Saccharomyces cerevisiae S288C: one gene and its partners. The gene in region 3 interacts genetically with the main gene of each other region. Each region holds a gene or a part of one and is shown on either strand. Other genes may lie near its edges.

Region 1 (4,034 bases), on a different chromosome or scaffold from region 3:
AGTAGAGACAAAGATTATACCAAACGAAAAGGAGGACGAGGACGAGGACGGCTACATAGAAGAGGAGGACGAGGACTTCCAGCCTGAAAAAGATAAATTAGGTGGTGGTAGCGACGATAGTGATGCCAGCGATGGCGGTGACGACTATGATGACGGTGTGAACAGAGATAAGGGTAGAAATAAAGTGGACTATTCGCGTATAGAGAGCGAGAGCGGCGGACTGATCAAGACTAGAAGAGCTCGGCAAGCTGAGGAAGAATATGCGAAAACACATAAGTATGAATCGTTAACTGTTGAATCGATCCCTGCAAAAGTAAACAGCATCTGGGAGGAGCTACAGGAAGCTAGTAAGAACCGTCTTTTGAGCAGTTCAGGGAAAGTCGGCTCTGTTCTCGACGGTTCCAAGGAGGCTAGGTCGACAACGGCCGCGCAACAGGAGGACAAAATCCTCATCGAAAGAAACTACAAGTTTGCTGGTGAAACTGTCCATGAGAAAAAATGGGTTTCACGCAGCAGTGCGGAGGGTCAAGAATATCTAAACAGTTTGAAATTTAAGCAGCAGGCGCCTGCTGCTCCTGTTCAACTGGAAAAAGCAGTTAGGACCAAGTCCAATGAAAGCCGGCAACACTTGCGACGGCCACTGAAAAGGCCTCCATTGTTGGAGCAGATCATTTCTGGCGGGCTACGACCCAAGCTAACGACATTAGAAAAATCTCAGCTGGACTGGGCTAGTTATGTAGACCGTGCTGGACTTAACGACGAATTGGTGCTGCACAACAAGGATGGGTTCTTGGCCCGGCAAGAATTTCTGCAGCGGGTCGGGTCTGCAGAGGACGAGAGATACAAAGAATTGCGCCGGCAACAACTTGCTCAGCAGTTGCAGCAGGATAGCGAAGCTTCATAGACAAATATTACATGTATTAAATAACATGCTTTTCTGCTCAAATTTTTTTAACCGCCGAGGCCTGCACACTTTCACTACGTGTATAACGATGCTGCAGACAAAGTAATGGGGTGTATGGGTGTGGGTGGCAAAAAAAACCTAGCAACGCTCTATGTTTCTTTTCTTTTTTCTTTCTTTTTTTTTTTTTGCCGTTTCCGATGGGCCACTCGGTGAAAACATATAAAAAGGGCTCTACATTCATTTTTTCATCGATGAGTACTTTACTTGTTATCAGATTTATTCATTTTGTTTCTACTTGTTTTTTTTTTAAATCCCCACGAATCTCTTTGCCTTTTGGCTTAGATCAAGTGTAGTATCTGTTCTTTTCAGTGTAACAACTGAAATGACCTCAATGAGGCTCATTACCTTTTAATTTGTTACAATACACATTTTTTGGCACCCAAAATAATAAAATGGACGGGAAGAGACTTTTTAAGCAAGTTGTTTTCCGCTAATGTCAGGTCTCACTACTTTTTGCTGCTATTTTTCTTCGCTCATGGTTTCTTCATAAGGCGTTTTTATGATGGTTTTTCGAAATTGGTTTTTGAGACGACGGTTGCTCAAGGTTATTGTTTTTGTTTTCTTCTGGTTGTTTTCTATTTTCTTTTTTTTAGCTTTCTGTTTCTCCCTTAGTTTGGCTTTTTGCTTCATACTCTTCCCTGTCTTTCCGAGCCGTTTATGTCCAACGCGGGATTTGGTTTTTCTTTATCGATGGGAAGAAATGGTGCTATAGTAGGTTGGGAGATAATATTTATGGTATGGGGTGCTAGTGCGGATGGGGCGCTCTTATTGTTGATTTCTTCGCTCGTCTTCTTTTTCTGGTGGCGCTGCAAGAGGAAGTTTTTCGACTTTGTTATGATTTTTGGTTTGCAAGGAAAGGTGTCTTACGATTCTTTTTTTGATGTAATAGGATAAGCTTGCTTATCCCCCAAGTATCGGCCAAAGTTGTTGATTTTCCTTTTGAAGTGTCCTCGGTTTGAGGGGGTGTAGGGTGGGGTTGGTCTACAATAAGAGTGTTCCATTGTTAACGTGCTGGCGTCTTTTACTATATTTTTTTTCCCAGTTTATTTTGTGCTTATTTTCTCATTGAGGAGAAGGAGCTCTTCTCGCAGGATATAAATGGAGGTTTGCTAAAGGGGAGGAGATGTGTTTGTGAGAATACTGCTGAGAGAGTTCTGGAAGAGAAAAAAAGGAGGCAATGGAAGGCGTTTGCTGGGAAAAGAGAAGAGCCATGACTGCATCTGTTGTTTCAAGGCCAGTTTTATTAACCGCCTATGTCATAGAGGCGTTTTTTTTGGAGGGATTTGAAGAATGCCGGCGGCATCAAGAAACGGACTTGATGGTTGACGCCTGTTTTTAAAGTTAGAGACGTCGCGACCCTCGCACTTGTGGAGTCGTTCTTGACTTTTACTTTGGTCGCTTGATGTTTCTCTCGTCTTCCCGTTCGCTCTTTTATTTTTTTATTTTTTTTTTCCTTTGACTTCGCATGAATGAGTTCATTCATGAAGCGAAAGGAGAGATTCTATATACCACGCAACCAAATATGTAAGTATATAAAATATATGTATGTGTGTGCACTAATTGGCGGCATACTCTTTCTTGACCCGTTGTGATAGGGCCTTAGCTGCTTCCCATTGCCTGTCCCGAGTCCAGCGACTCAAGACGTTGGACGTGCGCACGTACTCACACATGGCCGAATTGGCCCTTACGAATGAGCTCTTGGCTACCCCTCTTGCTGCACTCGCCACACACCATAACTGGTATAATTCGTTTCTCATGCTAGTCTCTTTTTTTTTTTTTACTTGTTTCCTTTTCCTTTGTTGCTTATCCGCTTTCTCGTTCTCTCCTCTGTTCTTGCCTCAACTCCTCAAATCTCTGCTGTCCCACTTACGTTTTATTTTTTCACCGTCCCCTTTCCCTGCCCTACTACCCCGGGCCAGCGGCCAATGACGCCGCCGCTACCTCCTCTCCCGTTAATCGTCCCTGCGTATATAAAGTGTCGATCAATGTGCCCACTTCAACCGAAACCGCCGACGTAACCCTATTCCAACAATTAGAAACATAACATCTACCTCCAGCATCTCATAATATGTCTGCAACGTATGTACACTAATATCTGAAACGTATCGCCTAATCTTTTCTCCCGGTTCTCTTTTGACTAACGTATATCATCTATGACCATCTTTCTTTTCCCCAGTGCTAAACACGACAGTAACGCTAGCCCAAATTCTGACTCTGAAGACGGTCACCACCACAACAATAAGAAGGAATGCGCTATCGAATATCTGAAGGCACGGTTAAATAGTGCATCAGCAGTCGCTTGCGGCTACCTCCAAGCTTTTGTCAGTAAGACGCAAGACTTTGCCAAAGTATGCTTTTTAGAACTTCAGAATCCCGTTGTCTTGGTCAACTTGTTGCTGCATTCTTCAGTGGTATGTTATTTATGTAACGGGTATGCGAACCACAACGCCAGATTCTTGAAGGGGAAACCTAACTCTACAGTCTTAGCAACAACCGCCGGCGCTCTGGGTCTTTTGACGCTGGACGGTATAATTTCAAAGAAATACTACTCCAGATACGACAAGAAATAATAACATACTATTTAATAACATCCTTTCACACACTCACACACTCACACACTTTATATACATATATTTTTATAACTATTACTGCTGATTTATTTGTAAGGAAACGTGCTTTCCTCTTCATCGGTCAAGTGATAAGTTTCTATAATATAATAGCTTTTCTGTCTACTATCATTCTTTTTTCATTTCAAGTACCCTTAATTTGTTTTACCCGGACCACGACATTTTCTCACTACGGCACTTGAGAGCTATAACTCAATGAACATGTTGCTTGGAGTTATTTGATTGCTCTGCGTATCTTAAAATAGCGGTCTCGAATCAACCGTATGCAACATGGTCCTTTTGAAATGGCTCGTATGCCAATTGGTCTTCTTTACCGCTTTTTCGCATGCGTTTACCGACTATCTATTAAAGAAGTGTGCGCAATCTGGGTTTTGCCATAGAAACAGGGTTTATGCAGAAAATATTGCCAAATCTCATCACTGCTATTACAAAGTGGACGCCGA
Region 2 (7,196 bases), on a different chromosome or scaffold from region 3:
AATGAGCTCAATAACCAATATACCAACATGGAAAAACAACGAGCCAAAGAAGCCGGTAATCTTGAAGATTCTGAGATGACTGCCAAGCAAGCCAAGACAAAATTTATTTATGAAACCCAACAGAAAGGTTTTTCTGGGAAAGAGGTTTCATATATCCCGCTTTTAGCCATTGATGCGTCACCAAAAACATGGTTAACTGATTATGGCGTATTTGGGAAACGAGAATATTTAGAAAGGGTATGGGACTCTATAGAATGGAAAATTGTAGAGTCAAGGTTACCTCAACGTACTAAGATCCAAGCATTCAACACGTTATGAATGAAACTGGTAATGGGAATTTTTTCCTTTTGATATAAGTTGGTAGTCTCTGTAAATATATAAAGTCAAACTATTCGTAATGTGTATATAACGTGGTCTTAAATTATTTTTATTCGTATCTCTCCCTTTTATTTGCCTGGCTTTGGTGTCTCATAGCTTCTTTTCTCTCTTTTAAGCTCACTTTACTGACTTTTCCTGCCGACCTTTAGACTTTTTACTCTGCTCAGTAATTTGCTGCCCGTCGATTTCTTTTTCATATTGGGCTCATTGTAGCGCACACCCAAATAAACGTCTTCCTCATCTTCATTGTGATCATCTTGGCCGTCGAAATCAGTAGTATAATTGGACTTATGCGTTCTGTTAGGAGAATTAACGGTTTTCGACCTTCTAACACCTTCATTGCTGTGACCAACATCATAGTTGTCTCTACTTAAACTCAAGTTTCTTCTAACGCCTGTCATGGGGGCATTGCTATCACCGGATCCTCCGAGACCTAATCGTTGAGAAAGTGACTTATTTCTTTGTAAACCACCGTTACGATTATGATAGGAATGGGCTTTTATGTCGTTTCTAATGGCAGCTGAGGAGGCCGGCGCCCCATCTAAAAACGTACTAGAACCTAATCCCGCAGTAACTGGCCCATGAACCAATTCTGTCTTATTTTTGGCATCCATTTGTTGGACGTTACCCACGTTTGCTTTTATTGCGTCCTGCGTATCACCACCTCTCCTTAGAGTCTGCGAACTGTACTGGTATATATCAGAATCATCTGTATCATCTCTCCCAAAAACCTCATCCAGGGCAGACTTCTTGGTTGAAGCGCCACCGATGGTACTGTTTGGACCATCGACCGGAAATGCTAAAACAGGCGCAGCTTTGTTATTTTTATTTCTATGAGGTGTTACTGCATCGAATGGGCCGTCATGATGAAATGAGCCACCGAACAATCCAGTTACATCTAACTTATCGATAGTATCGACGTTCTTAGGAACAATAACCTTACTTTTTCTCTTTCCCTTCTTAGAAGGCGTTGAAGATGAGGAAGCTTCACGGTGATGGTGGGATGAAGATCTGCGTGAAATATATGTGCCGCTGTTGCTATGTTCGCGGTGAGAAGAAGGACGAGAAACCTTTTCCTTTGGATATGCACGCCTTGATCCATTGGTTGAAGTGATCTCTTCGTATGAGGGTGGTAGGTCAGTGTTTTCTCTTGTGTTACCTACTGTACTTACGTCACTTTCCTCCAAATATCTTTGCCTTAATTGTTCTTTTTCTTCTTTAGCAGTGGGATGATTTTTATTCCTTGAAACAGGTGGGGGAGACCTTCTAAAATCGGTTGCAGAACTCACATCGTCTAGGAAAGGATTCTTTGAGGAAAGAGGTCTCGAAGGTGGTGATAAACTACCACTACTAAAGCTCTCCAAACCAGAATAAAAAGCACCCTGCTGATCTGCGTTTCGCTGGGGTTCATCCTCTGGAATGTTTGGGAATGATAATTGTGAAGAAGTTCTTGTGTTCAATTGTGGCATATCAAATGAATTGGTACGAGATTGGTTTTTCGCCCACTCCTGAAACTGGGAGTCATTTTTATACTGATTAATACTTGAATCAACTGTGGCATTTCTAAACGGGTTATTAACAGAAAATGGCCTACTAGAGGTACTACTGTTTCTATTCTCCATGCTAAATCTTGCGTATATGTATCAATTTTTCTAAAAATGGAAAATGCTGGCAAAGTGTAATGGAACCTACAATGTATCAACAATTAAGCAGTCGAAGATTATGGTAAAATGACGTTACGTGTTCGAAGGGATAGGTCTGCAAAACACTTAAATTCCTCGAATAAAAATAACAATAAAAAGAGCGAGGTAGATCGGATATATTTCGGATTCTACACACTATAAAATACAAATTAGAAATTTTACAGAGTTACCTCCCAAGAAAGAGTATCTTCATTTTCTAGTGAATAACCTATCGCCAGTCACCATGATCTGCTGTTGAACCAACCTCGAGGCGGGAAAAAAAACAAAAAAAAAAGTAACGCGATTTACGCTCCGTGCACGACGATTCTTTGAGATGGCTGCCAATGGTTGATCACAAGTACTAGCTTCTACACAACTGGATAAGAATGACGCATATATACTTTTAAGTATGTTGTTATTAAATCTGCTATATAATGATGTTATACGTGCATTGGTCAAGGAGAAAAAGGTTTTATGTTATGAACTTTTGTTAAAACCATTCAAAGAACAATAAGTATCGAGAATATCGAAAGTAGTAGCAAGGAAGCTATACGAGTTACATGTCCAGCTGGATCTTTGTTAAATGTATAAGGACTGCTCAATCGAACGCCTGCTCCCGAAGCACTGCTGGTTCTATTAGTTGAATTTGACCACTCTTCTGAGGCTGACACAGAAAAGCTGTCGAATTGAGTACTGGATGGTCTAGCACTTGTGCTTGCTCTTGAAGTATCATAGAATGACCGGCCCGCACCTGTAATCACACCGTTTGAGTATGCTGCTGTCAGTTGACCTGGGACAGTGAACATATAGCCTGACCTATAGGATGGATAAAGAGTCAAGTTTCTTGTATTACTACTATTCATCACTTTTGCGTAAGGAATGTAACCAGATTTGATCTTCTTGATGATAGTGGACGCGGTAGTTTCATTTGTCTCTTCAGTAACTGCGTCATCTTCAACCTTCTTTGCCTGTGCAATGGCTATAGTGTTATCCTCTAAGTCCATTGCCATATATATATTTTTTATGAAGGCTTCTCCGAGTATGTTTACTCCAGTATTTGTATTAGCGTATAGTGTTAGAAAACAAGCTTCCTGTCCAGAACTGAAAAACATTGAAGAATTGGTGGATGTATCGTAAGTAGATGATAATAAATCACGTAGGGGTATTTCAATTGTCAATTCTCGAAGCCTGAAACCCAAGGAGACACCCATATCTGCTATAGAACATTGGACTAGCCACCTATCTAGTGATTCCACATAAGTGGCCGCAATTTGAACGGCAATCTGAATAATGGTACTAGTTGGCAGGTAACTGACCGAAGAAGTTGAATCAAGTAAGGCTGGGCTCAGAAAGTCCTTCGAAGTCATATTCAAACTTTGTCCGCTGTTAGACACAATATAAATAGGGCCTAATGGCACAATTGGGTACCCAACACTAACAGCATTACTCACTGGGTCAACGTAAGGAATTAAGTCAAATTTTCCCAGTGTACCGGTAAACAGCGAAGGATCCACCCCTCCAAGAAGTAGCTTCCCACAATTAGATATTGGATCTCTATATGTTTTGTACGTGGAAGTGTCTCCAGCCAACCACAGTGAATATGACGAACTTTCAATGATATCTGCATCTTTCAATAAGGATAGAAAATAAGACTGTTCTGTGTATTGTGAGCTATCGATAGCATTGCCTGGGTTTGTGACCTTCCCGCTTAAACCTAACAAGCCTGAAGTCTTAAAGTTCGAGGACTGAATATCAAAGAAGGAAACGTTTGAAATGGATAGGCTCCCCGAGTTAAATTGTACGTTATCTCGAGTTACCATTAAATCGGTTATCAAAGCGGTCGAGGAATTTTCTGAGGAAACATTTGTAAAATTCATATCGTCTGTCACCAAAGTACAGTTAACAGCTCTACCATCAATGAAAGAAATCTCATATATTTGGCCAGGAGAAACAGGAACAGATGATGTAGAGTCATTCATGAGGTAGCTGGGATGCTTATGATATACACCGGAGTATTCGTTATGACTTTCGCTTGTTCCGGAAACCAGATTTATGTACGGTTGGATAATATCCACTAGCAAACGTTGGCGTTGACCGGGAGTGCCAAATGTGCTATTAACATAGTAGTTTCCTCTACCATCTTTACCCACGGCTAGTACAGGAAACGGCTCCTCCGTTGACGAAGAGGTTCCAGACTTTGCTGTAGTTGTTGTATTTGCAGTACTAGCCGTTGCAAACTCTAACTGAAAAGTTGATATGAGCCACAGATACCATAAAATTAGGCATGTCATAGCAAAAATCAACGGCAAATAAAGCAAGCACGCAGTTACGATACGTTCAAAGATCTTTCCAAGTTCTGTATCCTTCTAGAACGATTAGTCTAATGCAACTGATATGTCCAACATTCTAAATATAACTTATTTTGGTATTAGCTGCATCATTCTACCATGATGAGCTGCGGCGTTCAATATCTCATTTTTTTTTGTTCGGGGTAACGAGGTTCATTGTTGCAAATAGCACGACCAAACGAGCGGTATGATACAAAGCACTGCAAGTCATAGCTGAGGTAAAAAAAAAAAGAATGAAGATCTCATTGTTTGGGTTAAATTACTTTCAAGAGCCTCTTTTTTAGGCTCGGTTGGTTAAAAGAGCAAGAACCGAAACACTAGTGCATCAATTTTTATAACAATTTTGTAATTATGTTGATAATTGGCAGTAAAGTTACAAAATACACACTAATTAAAATATTGAACACTTACAATATAAAGCTGATATCAAAATAAATATCGAACAATAAATACAACTCTCTCCAATATCAATATACTGCCGTCGTTATTTAAAAAATTAGCCCACCTGGGAACATTATAGAAAGAGATTTGTTTTTTGGTCTGGCAATGTGTCATAATCAAGCTCTTTGCAATATACATCCCCAACTCATATATTTGTATACAGGAAGAAGAATCGACCACCATCTATCGACTAGCATATTATCATATACGGTGTAAAAAGATGACATAAAAGATGAGAAACAGGGTAATCCCAACAATTGTCTCAATATTTACCTATTTCTCACATTGTCACCGCTCGAAAGTGCATTTTATATACGTTCTTTTGTGACGACTACTTTTGGCGGGAATCTTAGCGCCTTAAATGCAGTGAAAGATTACTCTTTTGAGTTATTGCCTGAATTTTGTCTGCAAAATTGTTATTATTCAGGAATTTAGAATAATTCAACTCTGGAGGCCTGCGCTGTACTACGGGCTCAAGTAATACCGGAGTGTCTCGACAATCCTAATATAAACAGTCTTAGGGAAGTAACCAGTTGTCAAAACGGTTTATCAGATTAATTCACGGAATGTTACTTATCCTATATATTATATAAAATATGGATCATACTAAATGGTGGAAGCGCGGAACCTTGGATCTAAACTGTTGGAATAAGAATCCACTATCGTCTATCAACTAATAGTTGTACTATCAATATATTATCATATACGGTGTTAAGATGATGACATAAGTTATGAGAAGCTGTCATCGAAGTTAGAGGAAGCTGAAGTGCAAGGATTGATAATGTAATAGGATAATGAAACATATAAAACGGAATGAGGAATAATCGTAATATTAGTATGTAGAAATATAGATTCCATTTAGAGGATTCCAATATCATCGAGGAGAACTTCTAGTATATTCTGTACACCTAATATTATAGCCTTTATCAACAATGGAATCCCAACAAGTCTCTCAAAATACACCCATTTCTCATAAACCAATTGTTCAGGCATTTATACGTTTAGATAGCCCAGCTATAGAAGGCGGAGTTTTACCTCATGTTGCTCAATCTGTTCGTTTTCTTAGGTTTCATATGTGTTCTATGAACGTTCAGGATAATGTATTGTCATGCTGACGTATCCCATTCTGAGATGTAACGTCTGTACAAAACAAAGCTTCAGTAGCTCAGTAGGAAGAGCGTCAGTCTCATAATCTGAAGGTCGAGAGTTCGAACCTCCCCTGGAGCATTTTTGCCGAGCACGGTACTTTTTTTTATTCTCAGTAAATGAAATCCAAGGGCTCATTTATTTGAGAAAGTAAATAAGGTATTAGAGGTAATAAAGTAACCATGGGCCAAGAAGACATATTCATAAACTTATGAAAAAACTTTGTAGGTATTAATAACTTATGGGTAAATTACTATCTATGAATGAATATTTACTATTTACTAGTGCTCATCTGGATATTAATTTAGACTTTTCAACGTCTCTCTTATAATATTTGTACATTTATTAACATCATCATCATTAAATCTAGGCTTGCCATCTTCTTCGAACATATCTTCGTCAGTAAACAGGGTGCTATCAGTAGGTTCTTTAATGTTATTATTTTCCACCAATTCCGTCAGTAAAGTTTCGTCAAAGTTTTTGGGAAACGGCCAGCCTTGGTCTTTTATTATCTGTATCAAAGCCATATGCCTGATTTCAAAGCCCCCGAAGAGTATCTTATTGTACCAGGAGCGTGCTCCTTTTTCGTCTCTCATTTTGACATAATGCATTACCATTGCAGAACAAAATTTAAACGTTAAAGGCACCCCATTTTTATGCATCACCTGTAGCAATTCTGATAGTTCAGCCTGCGTTAATGTATGATTTTTATAGGCTACTATGGAAAAGGGACATAGCGTGGTAGTTAAAACCACTTTTTTGGCGAAAGGTTGAGAATAAAAATCCAGAAGAACATTGTAGGCCAGCCTTGGTTCACGAGCTTGGAATCTAATATAATTTAGGAAAACATTGAGGATTCCGGTATCATTTCTCCAATACCTGTATTTATGAGCTTCCTCGGAAAGAAAACTCTTGTACTTGTAATATAAATCAAGAAGACAATTCTTGAATTGACCACTTTCCAGTGAAACAGAACTCGAAGATAAAAGGCTTCTATACAGTTCAGTTAAAATTGGAACAGTCACTGGTGATCCTATTCGCATTGTGTTCGGTAGAATATTATTTTTGTTCTTCAGCTCTCTTGCTAACGTAGGAGCTGTCAAAGTCGTTGATTTTGAATGATAGAGCCACCCCCAAATCCCTAGGGCATTCAGAATATTAGCAGACGCCTTTGAGCTGTATGATGAGAGGAGATATTTAC
Region 3 (6,549 bases):
ATCATGAATACTCCACTCCAAGCTTGTTTGATACATCACATTCTTGTAAAAATATATGATCCAATTCCTAGGACATCAGAAAATATATCTACTATGGGCGTGTGGCGTAGTCGGTAGCGCGCTCCCTTAGCATGGGAGAGGTCTCCGGTTCGATTCCGGACTCGTCCATTTTAAAATTTCTTTTTTTTTTTTTCTCTTTCCGTATGTAAGCTTTTTTCCTTTTTTTTTTTTTTTTTTTTTTTTTTTTCTTCACTACTTTTCAATGAAACTCTCTTCAAAAGACAGCATGCAGTAAAAGCGCCGATATGAGTGACGACGATTATATGAACAGCGATGACGACAACGACGCCGAAAAAAGATACGTAAGGCCAATTTTCGTCAGAAAGCGCAGGAGAGAAGAAGACTACGTTGCAACTAGCAAAGACAACATCCACCACCACCCATGCGATTGGTCCGCGAAACCATCGCAACGTCAAAACGAAAATGAGCAAAAAAGCACCATACGGCTTGTACCAGTGGCGATGAATACGCCGAAGTGTCAAGAGAAAAAAAAGAAAAGAAAGGGCGTTGGTACAACTAGTCATGAGGCTACGCTTTTCGAGTACGGTGAAAGCATAGCAGGCTACAAGTGTGTTACAACCGAGAGCGAAAGAGACCGCTTGAAACGAAGTCATGAAAGCGAAAGCAGCAGTGAAAGCGAGGTAGACGTTTTCGCCTTTGACCAGGCAAAAGGTATCAGCTCTAAGGTTGAAGCCGAAGAACGCTACGCGCGGGCCGTTCGACAGTATTGGCGCATGACCAAAGACGAGCCGGCTACCTTACCACTGCCAGGCACACCTACCCTAGCGGCTGTGAGTTTAGATATGATTGATGACAAAAGCGTAGAACAATTTTACACAATGAGCAGTGCCTTGATGGATGCAAACAGACTAGACTTGATTCGCCGCGATAGAATCCGGTGGCACCCGGACAAACATCGTTATCATAAGTCCAAAGTCACAAAACTGTTTCAGGCCATTAACGGCCTGTGGGAGCAAGAAAAGACCGAGAAAAGGTAATGAAAAAGTGGAACTAGACCCCACGTCAGCGGGCCTAGGCCCTTCAATGTGTTAGAATACACAGCGTGCCTAGTTCCTGGTGCCTGGATCTCGAGGCCGCGGCACTGGAAAAGCCCTTTCTTTTCCAGATCGGGAAACCTAATGAGTCCATAAAAAGAAATGTAGAGGTGGTGTTGACGTTTTGCCGCTTTTGGGCAAGTAGGTCTTTCTGCACGGCCCGGCCCGGGTCGTGCGGAAAAAGAAAAAAGCAGACAAAACAAAATTTTTCCTTTTTTTCGCCTTTGTTTCTCCTGATTCGGGTATATAAGTGAATACCATCTAATGTGTTTCCTTCTCGAGACCTCGGCGTCTCCCAGATCAAAGCTCAGCAAAGATTTTAAACCGCAATTTACGCTCCTTTCATCGGTAACTAAGAAGAAAAAAAAAAAAGTACGACCACACAATTTCCAGTGTATTCATTCCTTAAACTTCGTTTATTTTTTATTCATTCATTCATTTTTATTTGAATATAACCAACTACTAGTCCTTCCTTTAAACAAAAATTTACCCTCCCTTAATTTTTCAAGAAATTCCAGTATGAAATTATCCGCTCTATTAGCTTTATCAGCCTCCACCGCCGTCTTGGCCGCTCCAGCTGTCCACCATAGTGACAACCACCACCACAACGACAAGCGTGCCGTTGTCACCGTTACTCAGTACGTCAACGCAGACGGCGCTGTTGTTATTCCAGCTGCCACCACCGCTACCTCGGCGGCTGCTGATGGAAAGGTCGAGTCTGTTGCTGCTGCCACCACTACTTTGTCCTCGACTGCCGCCGCCGCTACTACCTCTGCCGCCGCCTCTTCTTCCTCCTCTTCCTCTTCCTCCTCTTCCTCTTCTTCCTCTGTTGGTTCTGGAGATTTTGAAGATGGTACCATTTCCTGTTCTGATTTCCCATCCGGACAAGGTGCTGTCTCCTTGGACTGGTTAGGTCTAGGCGGCTGGGCTTCCATCATGGACATGAACGGTAACACCGCCACCTCTTGTCAAGACGGATACTACTGTTCTTACGCTTGTTCTCCAGGTTACGCTAAGACCCAATGGCCTTCTGAACAACCTTCCGATGGTAGATCCGTTGGTGGTTTATACTGTAAGAACGGTAAATTATACCGTTCCAACACCGACACTAACAGTTTGTGTGTAGAAGGTCAAGGCTCTGCTCAAGCTGTTAACAAGGTCTCCGGCTCCATTGCTATCTGTGGTACCGATTATCCAGGTTCTGAAAACATGGTCGTTCCTACCGTAGTTGGCGCTGGTTCCTCCCAACCAATCAACGTCATCAAGGAGGACTCCTACTATCAATGGCAAGGTAAGAAGACCTCTGCCCAATACTACGTTAACAACGCTGGTGTCTCTGTGGAAGATGGTTGTATCTGGGGTACTGAGGGTTCCGGTGTCGGTAACTGGGCCCCAGTTGTCTTGGGTGCTGGTTACACTGATGGTATCACTTACTTGTCCATCATTCCAAACCCAAACAACAAAGAAGCACCAAACTTTAACATCAAGATCGTTGCCACCGATGGCTCTACCGTCAATGGTGCTTGCTCTTACGAAAATGGTGTCTACTCTGGCTCTGGCTCTGACGGTTGTACTGTTTCAGTTACTTCTGGTTCTGCTAACTTTGTCTTCTACTAGGCCTTTTTTCCTTGAATATTGCAAATAAGCTTTTGCTAGTACTTTTTTTACTCCGTTCATTTTATGGTTTATTTTTCAATTAGTTCGTTTTTCCACAATACAAAAAAACACAGTCCTTTGTACTATCCCTTTTATTTCATTATTTTTTCTTTTTTAAGATACCACTAGATATTATCATATATAGCATATTATATAACATAAAAAGTCAAGAAAAAAAATGTTTTTATCACTTTCTATAACTGCATATCTTTTTTTGCATTTCGAATGATTGCTTACACATCGCCATGCTGGGATTCCTCCTCTGGTGGTGAGACAAATGGACCTGCTAATTCCAATGCAGGTTCGTCAATGTTGTGGTGAGCGTATGACAAAACACCAATCCCACCGGCGTCCAGTAAGAAACATGGATTGTCTACCAAATGTCTGTAAGATTCCAATTTCACATATGGAACTGTGTCGTCATCATAAGATTTGACATTTTGAATTTCTTCAATCGTCTCACACTTCTTTTGCACACCCAGTCCAAACCAAATAGCAGCAAAATAACGCAATGCATGTCCGTGCGCAAAGACCATGATGTCTGATGCTCTGCCCTCACTCTGGTGCTTGCGGTGCAAGTTCTGGATTCTGGCAATAGCGCGGGAAAGTCTCAACCCAATTTGCTGAGTAGTCTCACCGTTCTCACACCCATCTCTCCAGATATTCCATGGCCTCTCCTTGTCCAAACCGCGTGACTTTCTCAATTCAATGATTTCTCGAGTCAGCATTCCCTCGTAGTCACCGTACTCCCACTCTCGCAAGTCGTCGTCTACCACCACACGGATCTTAGCTCTTTGCTCGTCGCTTAATGGTTTCAAAACCAAATCCACAGTTTGCCTGGCACGCAAACGTGGAGAGGTGAAGATATAAGTGATGTTGTCTGGATTCAAAAACTGATTATTGCGGAAAACACTCTCACCGGTCCTCAACATTTGGCCCTCACCGTAGGGCGTTAACGGTAGATCTGTCAAACCAGTATACTGGCCTGACTTGGACCATTCAGTTTGACCGTGTCTGACAATGATACATCTGGGGGTTAGCGAAGGCATTGTTGCTTGCAATTAAGTGTAGGTGTTTCCCTATCCACTTAGCTATGAACAAAATGTGCTTATCTGAGCTAATATTTTTTCATTTTTGTCCTATAAATAATAATGGAAAAAAAAAACTCATCGCGTGGTTGAACAGAAAAAAAACAATAAGAGTGAGTAAGCAGTGAAAAATGTAAGATTTACGCTTTATATAAGCAGATTTTGGTTTCCTTTATATATTTTTGCATTTGTCTATCCTTAACATTGGATAGCAATTTGGCGGTGGGTAGTTTATAACGTGTGTGCTCTCTCTTTAAGTAACGATGTCAAGAGATGTAAGGGCAGAGAAACTAGCCATATCACTATTGATTTTATCATTGTTTCTAATATTCCAATTAGTGGCTGAGATTTATCTCAATAATGGTGATCAGTACCATACAGAGACTAGCCCCTTTACAAGAGGAAGATCACATGTAACGCGTGTGCCCAACCATGATGCTAGTTTATCTATACCGTTTTTGGACAAGATCAACCAGTTTTGGCATGTAGGCGGTGCCACGCAAATTAGGAATATTCAGTCGATCAAATTGACTCAGGACCGTGATCAAGATAAACATGGATTAGTATTGTCCAATGGAATTGGCGACAACACCATCAATGACTTTGAGATTGTTTTCACTTTCAGAATTTCTCACGACCCCACTACACAACTCACTGGTGATGGAATGTGTTTTGCCATTACGCCCGAAAATGGGTTTCTCACACAGAATTTACAGTCGTCGTATGCGAAAAAGCAATACATGATGAATTCTCAGGGCGTCATAGCCGATAATACAGATCTGATGGGCTTCCCGAAAAATCTGCCTGGCCTATTTATTGTCTTGGATACGTATCGCAACCAAGGCCACGACCATAAGGAGGTACCCTTTATGGATGTGTTTATAAATGTGGCCCCAGAAAGCGATTGGTACGATATAAATAGTGATGGTGAACTCAGTACATCGCTGCGGCTTAATTCAAGAGGCCACATAAAACTCAAGAAAAATGCCCTGTGGAATCGAGTCACGAAACTAAGAATAATATATTTGGAAAGTATAAGCTTCCTGAAGATCGACGTGCAGTACGCAAAAGAGGGAAACTACTGGATTGAGTTATTTCAAACAACCGAAAATCTGTACTTGCCGAAAAACATGCACACGGGGCAAAGATACATTGGCTGTAGCGCATTAAATGGCCAATTAACGGAGACAGTGGAGCTGCTGGACGTATCCACTAGCGAATTCCATTGGAACGACATGGATGCGTCCATTGAGGACACCTATGATTACGCAAAGGAAGCTGAGCTATTCCTGGAGCAGGAATTTGGCGAGGTCCTTGACAGGGAACCCGATGAGTTCACCAAATGGAAAATGATCAAAGCTCAACCAAACATCAAGACTGGGTCACAGTCAGCTGAACAGAAAACTTCAAACAATCCTCACTCTCGGTTGTTCAAGGTCGTGCTGACCATATGGCATTATAGCGAGATTTTGCTATTGATCATGGGCATTTATCTTTTTTCTGCTTGCATAAGAGTTTTCCAAAGAAGGTTCAAAAAAATTAGATCCAGAAGAAAAAGGGCAGGCTCGCATTCTGTGGGGCTATTGCCCATGTAGCATTGCATAGGCACGCACATACATACATACACAAATAATACAATATAGGACGTTCATCTTAGGTAGCCAATTCACGGTCTTCTTGTGGTAGTGTTACTTGCGTTCGACGGCGGGAGGGTTCTTGATCGATCCAATATACTCTGTGGTGGGATGGCCAGAACGCTAGAATTCGTCTCAAACGTCCTGTTAGAGAATATTGTGGGCCTCGTAGACTGTATTGAATGAATGTCCGAGAAAGTAGACGACTTCACTGACGAGGAACAAAACGATACTAGCGGAATAACACTTGCGTTGTCGTTTTGTTGTTGCTGCTGTTGCTGCTGCTGCTGTCTTACTTTGCCTGTTGGTGGTTCATCCCATGCCACTCGACGGTCTCCTTCGTCATCGGATTCGCTCGAATGCAACGAATTTCGATCAACCAATGGTCGCAACGACGAACTGATGGTTGTTCCATCCGGATCCAACTCAGCACGCTTAACTCTTGTGGGGCCAGCCCTAGTGCCGCGTCTTGGTTTACTGCTCGAGACCGATGCGTTAGTTGTGGTAGTGGTGTTTATTATTTTTTTAACCCACACTGAAAGTTTGTTTCTTCTTCCCTGGGATGTATGATGACTGTTTGACATGCTAGGACTTTCCCTTGGCACCATGTATATTCACTTTTATTGTCTCTTGATCGAGCTATAACCAAATTTTTTTTTTTTTTTTTTTTTTTCGTTTTTATAATTTTTTCTTTGGTATTCAATTGTATATAGTGCTCAAACAGCAACGTACATAATAGCTAGCAAACAATAGATGAAATAATAGAATAATAACAAATAACTATATAAGAGTGGCAGGAAAAAAAATCAGGCGCACGATTAGCGCAAAACCAAATTACTAATTGGTCGACACAGCCGCGGGCTTAGAATTGGTTTGGTCTTCTCTTGAGGCCTTTAGCTTCTCAATGGTGGCATTGCCCAAGTCCAACCCGGTGGATACAATGGCTTTAGGGACGCTTTCAGATTTACTTAGATTGTTTTCATAGACAGTGGTGAAGCGTTGGTAGGTTTCGTTAAGCTTAGTCTTTGTTGGGTCGATGTACACAGACTGCAACTT
Region 4 (5,953 bases), on a different chromosome or scaffold from region 3:
TACAAATTGAGATTCAATTCTTCGCAGCTTTAGAGACTGATTGATGAATTGCACACCATGGTCATTGGTTGATGGAGCCGCCGCATGCACACCTTTTGTATAAAAAGAGTCGTTATTGAAAAGAGGTAAATTTATTTCCGACTCCTTGATTGTATAAGGTTTCCCCACAGCAACACAAATCATTCTTTCCAACAGGTAAACACACCAAAATAGTCGCAGTTTCTTATTTGCAAATGGATCATTAGGATACCATTGATTTAGATGAAGTTTCTTCTTGGATATGCCCATGACATCCTTGATTATGTCATATAGTATCAGAGAATCTCTATCAGTCCTAATAATGTAAAGGACAAGCAATGTCAACAGTTCTATTTGCTGAACATAATTCAAATGTAGACCACACTTAGTGATGTGACGGATAGCGGTGGAGAAATATCGGTGAGGTGGAAACCCCTTGTACTTACCTGTGGTCATCAGTAAGTAGGCGCTGATGCTGAAGACAAGCCACATTCTGCCGGATAGAAAATGAAATTCTATTTCAGAATACGAATGTGAATTCGACGGTGGTGCTGCGGAAGACGTGGCGGGAGAAGATGGTGGGATAAGAATCTTGTTGTGGAGGTAGTGGTCATAAAAAGTATAGATTTCTTGTTCGTCTAAGATAGGGTACTTGAATTGTAATCTTGTGAAAAAAGTGTCCAAGAAGGAACGTGACAGCTTCTCATTCAGTTCAAAAATAGGGTCATACATCAAAAACTCTTTTTTCAAATTGTATTTGGCAAAAATACACTTAGTGAAGTCCAGCGTCTCTAAAGGGTCATTCAAAAGGCTCGCGGATTGGCAGATAGCATTATTGTTGTTTATGTTGTTCGTACTGGCCGATGTATCGTTAGTGGCCGCATTAACGTTGCTGCCGTTATTGTTTGTGTTCTCCAGGGGTTTGTTGGAAGGAGATGGCAGCGGCAGTATGACCATATTGCTGCTGTTCGGTCTAGAGTAATCAGAAGTGTTGTTACTGAACAAATGAGAAACCTTCTTGTACTGGGATAATTCGTAGTTGTACTGGTTGCATCCCGGCGATAAATCGAGCAAAGTCTCCAAACTTTTTAGTTTTTTCTCCAAGAAAATCGTATACTGATCTTTGTCTTGCCTCATCAGGTTTGGATTGGAATTTGTCGTGACGGACTTTATCGTTTTCCTGAATTCATTCGCGTCGCCAGCATCAACATTACTATTGCTAGTGGAAATGGGTTTTATTATCGTCATGTCATTCAGAGAAGTGGCAGCGCCAGCGCCAGCGCCAATACTGCTATCTTGCAGCTCACGTTTTATTACAGGATGAGGTGTAGGAGGTACAGTGCCAGCTGTAGGGGTGTTGTTGTTGGTGTTACTGTTCGAAGTGGAAGAAGAGTACTTGGAGGGCTGCACGCACTTTATTCCTGCTTTCAAACAGGCGGTACAACTGGGTAATTTATGGTCGCATCGTTGCTTTCTTCTTCTACAAAGAAGACAAGACCTGGAACGGCCCTTTTTGTCTTGCAACAAGACGTCTGTCCTGTTACCGGCCAGCTCCAGTTCTCTCTTCAACTGTTGTATTTTCTCCTGGCTAACATTCTTCCTTGGACGGCCCATTATTATTTACGTGTATTGTTGGTAGTTAGCCCGAAGATTATGAGTACGTGAAATACACTTGTCTTTATGAAAGAGTGGAAAAATGGTGGGGAGTAAGTTATACTATTGACGTGTAAAAAAAAAAAAAAAAAAATGTTAATGGAACGACCGATCTAAAGAACCATATATAATGAATGACTAAAAAAAGCAAAATAGTTAAGAATCCAAGAAAGATACTAAGAAAAGGCGAAAAGAAAAAGAAAAAGTATGTCCGCTAACAAAGATTAGCGTATAAGCACCACACGATGCGATTCAGGTCTCAACGTGCAGTGTGCAGGAGCAGGAACTATTCAATGTATTGTTGTTCCAGGGTTTTTGTTCGCAACCCACGTCTTGACCGACGGTACCCGCAGGTGAAAATTTTAGCAAAGTTACACTTTTTTTTTCATTTTTTTTTTTCTTTTCTCCTCCATCTAATTTCACCTGCGGTTACCGGCGGAATAACTCGCGCACCATTTCTCTGTCTCGGGCCTCGCGTTCCTCTTTTTCGACTCGAGCGGCCTCTTCACGCTGCTCGTACTTCGCGACGCTGCGCCGGCGCTGCGAGCGTTTCTGTTGACGGTGCCACTGTAGAAGCGCCTCCTCTCTGGACGGCATCGTGTCGTACGACGCCGCAAGTTCGCGCGCGAGCTTAAGCCGGGCAAGCTTTCGATTTTGCTCACGTGACCGCGTTTCTTGGCACTCGACAACGATCCCAGTGGGTTCATGCCGTAGTTGTACCTTAGAATTACACTTATTAATCTTTTGGCCACCGGGCCCTCTGCCGCCATGAAGGAATTTCTCAGTGCATTGTGCTTCCATCTCTGGCGTGAACTTTGGTCGCGGTGGTAGCTTGTTCTTTTTAATCAGCAGCACTGCGGCACTGCTGATTGACCTCTTACTCGCTCCCCTCATCATAGTTTACTAGTCTCGGATTCTTCTGCGCTTTTTCCAGGGTCGCATAGCTTGTAGGTTGGTAGCATAGACTTATATATAAACTCATATCCGTTCTAGGAACGTATAGCGCGCTATGGTAGTCCGGGGAAAATGCACAGTTTAGTTAAGTGTATAGTAATTTTATCGATAAAGGAAGAATGGAAGAGGTTTATGTATACATGTAAACTCTGAACATCTAATAGACTAATGATGCGGTTAATACGTACATTGCCGCTTCGATGCTTCAAAACTAGAATACGGCGGCAAGGCTCGTTGTTGTGTTTGCGGTGCTTTAGTTCGTATTCAAAACCACTTTTGCAGAAATCAATGTCATTGAAAAATATCCAGTTATCAGACCTATCCTCATCGCCATTATCCAAGAACAAGGAGAAGCAGGAGAAGCCAGAGAAGGAAAACGAAGGAAAGCACTCCATTGGCCTGTTAGACAGATTTTCAGAGGACTTTATTACTCAGGGCAATGGATTGAAACCTACTACTTCACAAAATCAATTGGATACTATAAAGTTTTATCAAATGCTTCGTGAAAGAGGCAATTTTTCCGATGAACAATGTAAAATTATCATAGCTCTATTGTTGCAACTACTAAATGATCAGTTTTATTCCTGTTACAATGATTTGTTCTTAAGGGATATGGAGCTGAATAAACAATCACATTTGTTCAGCTCGCTAGAAACAGAATTGAAATTCGCAATTCAAAACTCTAGAGACACGCAACTAAATGAGCACCACTTGCAATTATTAAAACTCAAGAGAGAACTTAACTCAATCCATGATGAACTGAATGAAATCATAATAGATCTTTTGCAAAAGGACGCTAAATTAGAATTTAACAATCAAAAATTAGAAAACACCCTTTTGTATCGACAATTAAACCTGAAATTGAACGACTGTTCTAACAAGATTCAAACCAAGATACTGGGGGATATCAGGTCACATATCGAAAATTTAAGATGGCAGACAACCAGAAGCGGTCTTTTGGTAATATTAGTCCTTGTTTGTTCGATTATGATCGGTGTAAGCGCATCTAAGAAGGAACGCCCAGGTTTACAGGAACCTGAGGAACCTGAAATTTTAGCACCAAAGGAAGACATTGATACTACCTTCCCTCAAGATCAACATGATATAGATTAATTAGCATACATATTGTCTGTACATAAGTATATTGTGTGTGCGTTTTGTTTCACTGAGAAAGCGGACGTCATAAACGATGCTTCCTTTGTTTCGAGCCCAGCTGCCTAAATCTTTTTAAGGGCTCTCCATCTACCCAATACTTGAGAGATTCATTTACTTCCACTGAGTTAGCCTTATTGAATGCATCGATGTGGTTCGATTTCAGCAATTTTTTCATCCCTAAGCAACTGGGCAGGTATAGCCCTTTCACTTTCTCCCTCAATTCTTCTAAGACCTTTGCATTGAACGCTTCAGCGTTTGAAGATGGCATGTTAAAATTCTTGCTTATAAATCCGTTCTCGCACATTATATCGTACTTGAATGGTTTGTTGAACATGAGGCATTCATACGTCGTATTTGTGCCAAACTTCAATGGCAAAGAGACCGTTGTACCACCTTCGGTAATTAGTCCTAAGTTAGCAAAGGGGTATAGCAAATAAACCTTGTCATTTATACTGTACACAATGTCACATAACGCTACCAGTGCCGCGCTCAACCCTATTGCTGGTCCATTCAAACAGCAAATTAAAACTTTGGAATGCTTGATGAAGGCATCAGTGACATAAACATTTCTAGCGACAAAATTTGACACCCACTTGCTTGTTTCCGAAGGATATTTATTGGTATCATCCCCTTGGGCTTTTGCAATACCCTTGAAATCAGCACCACTGGAAAAAAATCTACCACTGCTTTGTATAATTGTAAAATATACATCACGATTTCTGTCCGCTAGTTCTAGTAACTCTCCTAAATAAATATAGTCTTCACCTTCTAGTGCATTCAAATTGTCAGGGTTCATTAAGTGAATAATGAAGAATGGTCCTTCAATACGATAACTGATTTTCTCATTTTGCCTAATTTCTTGCGACATATTGTTCTTCCTTCCTTTACTGTGCGAGCAATTTGTGCCATACACTCCAATTATCTATCCATATGTTCATCTTTCAGTTCTTATATATAGTGCTTCACTTTTATTAACCGCTCTTGGGGTAAAAGAGAAACGGTCACTGCTACAGCCTTTCGGAATAATATTTCTTATGCCCGTCGCCAATTTCAGATTCTTTCCTTCGTGCCGCATTTATTTTATTTTTCAAAATGACGAGAAGTTAAAATCTAAAATCAGGAAAAAGAACAGTTGCAGATGACGAAATACTTCGAGCATTATCGCAATAAATAAGGCGTGTAAACGTATGTCAGATATAGAATCATTGGGAGAGGCAGCAGGTTTATTTGAGGAGCCAGAGGATTTTCTTCCTCCTCCACCAAAACCTCATTTTGCAGAATATCAAAGGTCACACATCACAAAAGAGTCCAAATCAGATGTTAAAGACATCAAACTCCGTCTCGTTGGAACGTCACCACTTTGGGGTCATCTCTTGTGGAATGCAGGAATATACACCGCAAATCACTTGGATTCTCATCCAGAATTAATAAAGGGGAAGACTGTTTTAGAATTGGGTGCTGCTGCTGCTTTACCTTCCGTTATTTGTGCTTTGAATGGGGCTCAAATGGTTGTTTCAACTGATTATCCAGATCCTGATTTAATGCAGAACATCGATTATAATATAAAGTCTAACGTTCCTGAAGATTTTAATAATGTCAGTACGGAGGGTTATATTTGGGGAAACGATTATTCTCCATTGTTGGCACATATCGAAAAAATAGGTAACAATAATGGAAAGTTTGACTTAATCATTTTAAGTGATTTAGTCTTCAATCATACGGAACATCACAAATTACTTCAAACAACAAAGGATTTATTAGCTGAGAAAGGTCAGGCGTTGGTAGTATTTTCACCGCATAGACCAAAATTGTTGGAGAAGGATTTAGAATTCTTCGAATTGGCTAAGAACGAGTTCCATTTGGTTCCTCAGCTAATTGAAATGGTTAATTGGAAACCGATGTTTGACGAAGACGAGGAAACAATCGAAGTCAGATCTCGTGTTTATGCGTACTATTTAACACATGAAAAGTAGTAAGTGGGCGGAATTGGCATTCTCAACAATCATTTTTATGTTTGTAAACCAGTGTCCTTTGATATGTAACAATTAAATAAAATAAGTCATGATGGGGCACGAATTCGCAAAATGGTAGAAACACAGTAAATCGAAGAAAATTAAATAATTCGTTATAGATATAAAGTAGTCGATTATAAAAACGTAAAAACATGAAGGCA

What was found.
Region 1: mutations in UTH1 (region 3) and OM14 together harm fitness more than expected from each alone (negative genetic interaction), as found in Saccharomyces cerevisiae (one large-scale study listed by BioGRID).
Region 2: mutations in UTH1 (region 3) and PAL1 together harm fitness more than expected from each alone (negative genetic interaction), as found in Saccharomyces cerevisiae (one large-scale study listed by BioGRID).
Region 4: mutations in UTH1 (region 3) and RSO55 together harm fitness less than expected from each alone (positive genetic interaction), as found in Saccharomyces cerevisiae (one large-scale study listed by BioGRID).

Annotation. Positions count from the first base shown.
Region 1 is NC_001134.8:679,049-683,082, reverse strand, and holds OM14 (Om14p), read left to right. Parts: upstream 1-3,032; coding exon 3,033-3,043; intron 3,044-3,140; coding exon 3,141-3,534; downstream 3,535-4,034. Other genes in the region: SWC5 (Swc5p), read left to right, coding at 1-904; COQ21 (Coq21p), read right to left, coding at 2,521-2,721; glucan 1,3-alpha-glucosidase ROT2, read left to right, coding at 3,862-4,034.
Region 2 is NC_001136.10:1,169,826-1,177,021, forward strand, and holds PAL1 (Pal1p), read right to left. Parts: upstream 2,001-7,196; coding exon 501-2,000; downstream 1-500. Other genes in the region: mitochondrial 37S ribosomal protein mS43 MRP1, read left to right, coding at 1-318; YPS7 (putative aspartic endopeptidase), read right to left, coding at 2,561-4,351; ATP22 (Atp22p), read right to left, coding at 6,295-7,196. UniProt on the Saccharomyces cerevisiae protein: Involved in the early step of endocytosis.
Region 3 is NC_001143.9:517,893-524,441, forward strand, and holds UTH1 (SUN family protein UTH1), read left to right. Parts: upstream 1-1,634; coding exon 1,635-2,732; downstream 2,733-6,549. Other genes in the region: YKR041W (uncharacterized protein), read left to right, coding at 306-1,058; SHB17 (sedoheptulose-bisphosphatase), read right to left, coding at 3,005-3,820; UIP5 (Uip5p), read left to right, coding at 4,123-5,454; YKR045C (uncharacterized protein), read right to left, coding at 5,526-6,077; PLN1 (Pln1p), read right to left, coding at 6,331-6,549. UniProt on the Saccharomyces cerevisiae protein: Involved in aging, oxidative stress response, and in the regulation of mitochondrial biogenesis.
Region 4 is NC_001144.5:702,393-708,345, forward strand, and holds RSO55 (Rso55p), read right to left. Parts: upstream 2,569-5,953; coding exon 2,101-2,568; downstream 1-2,100. Other genes in the region: YLR278C (uncharacterized protein), read right to left, coding at 1-1,632; PUT7 (Put7p), read left to right, coding at 2,794-3,738; ECI1 (dodecenoyl-CoA isomerase), read right to left, coding at 3,806-4,648; NNT1 (S-adenosylmethionine-dependent methyltransferase), read left to right, coding at 4,968-5,753; YLR285C-A (uncharacterized protein), read right to left, coding at 5,776-5,946.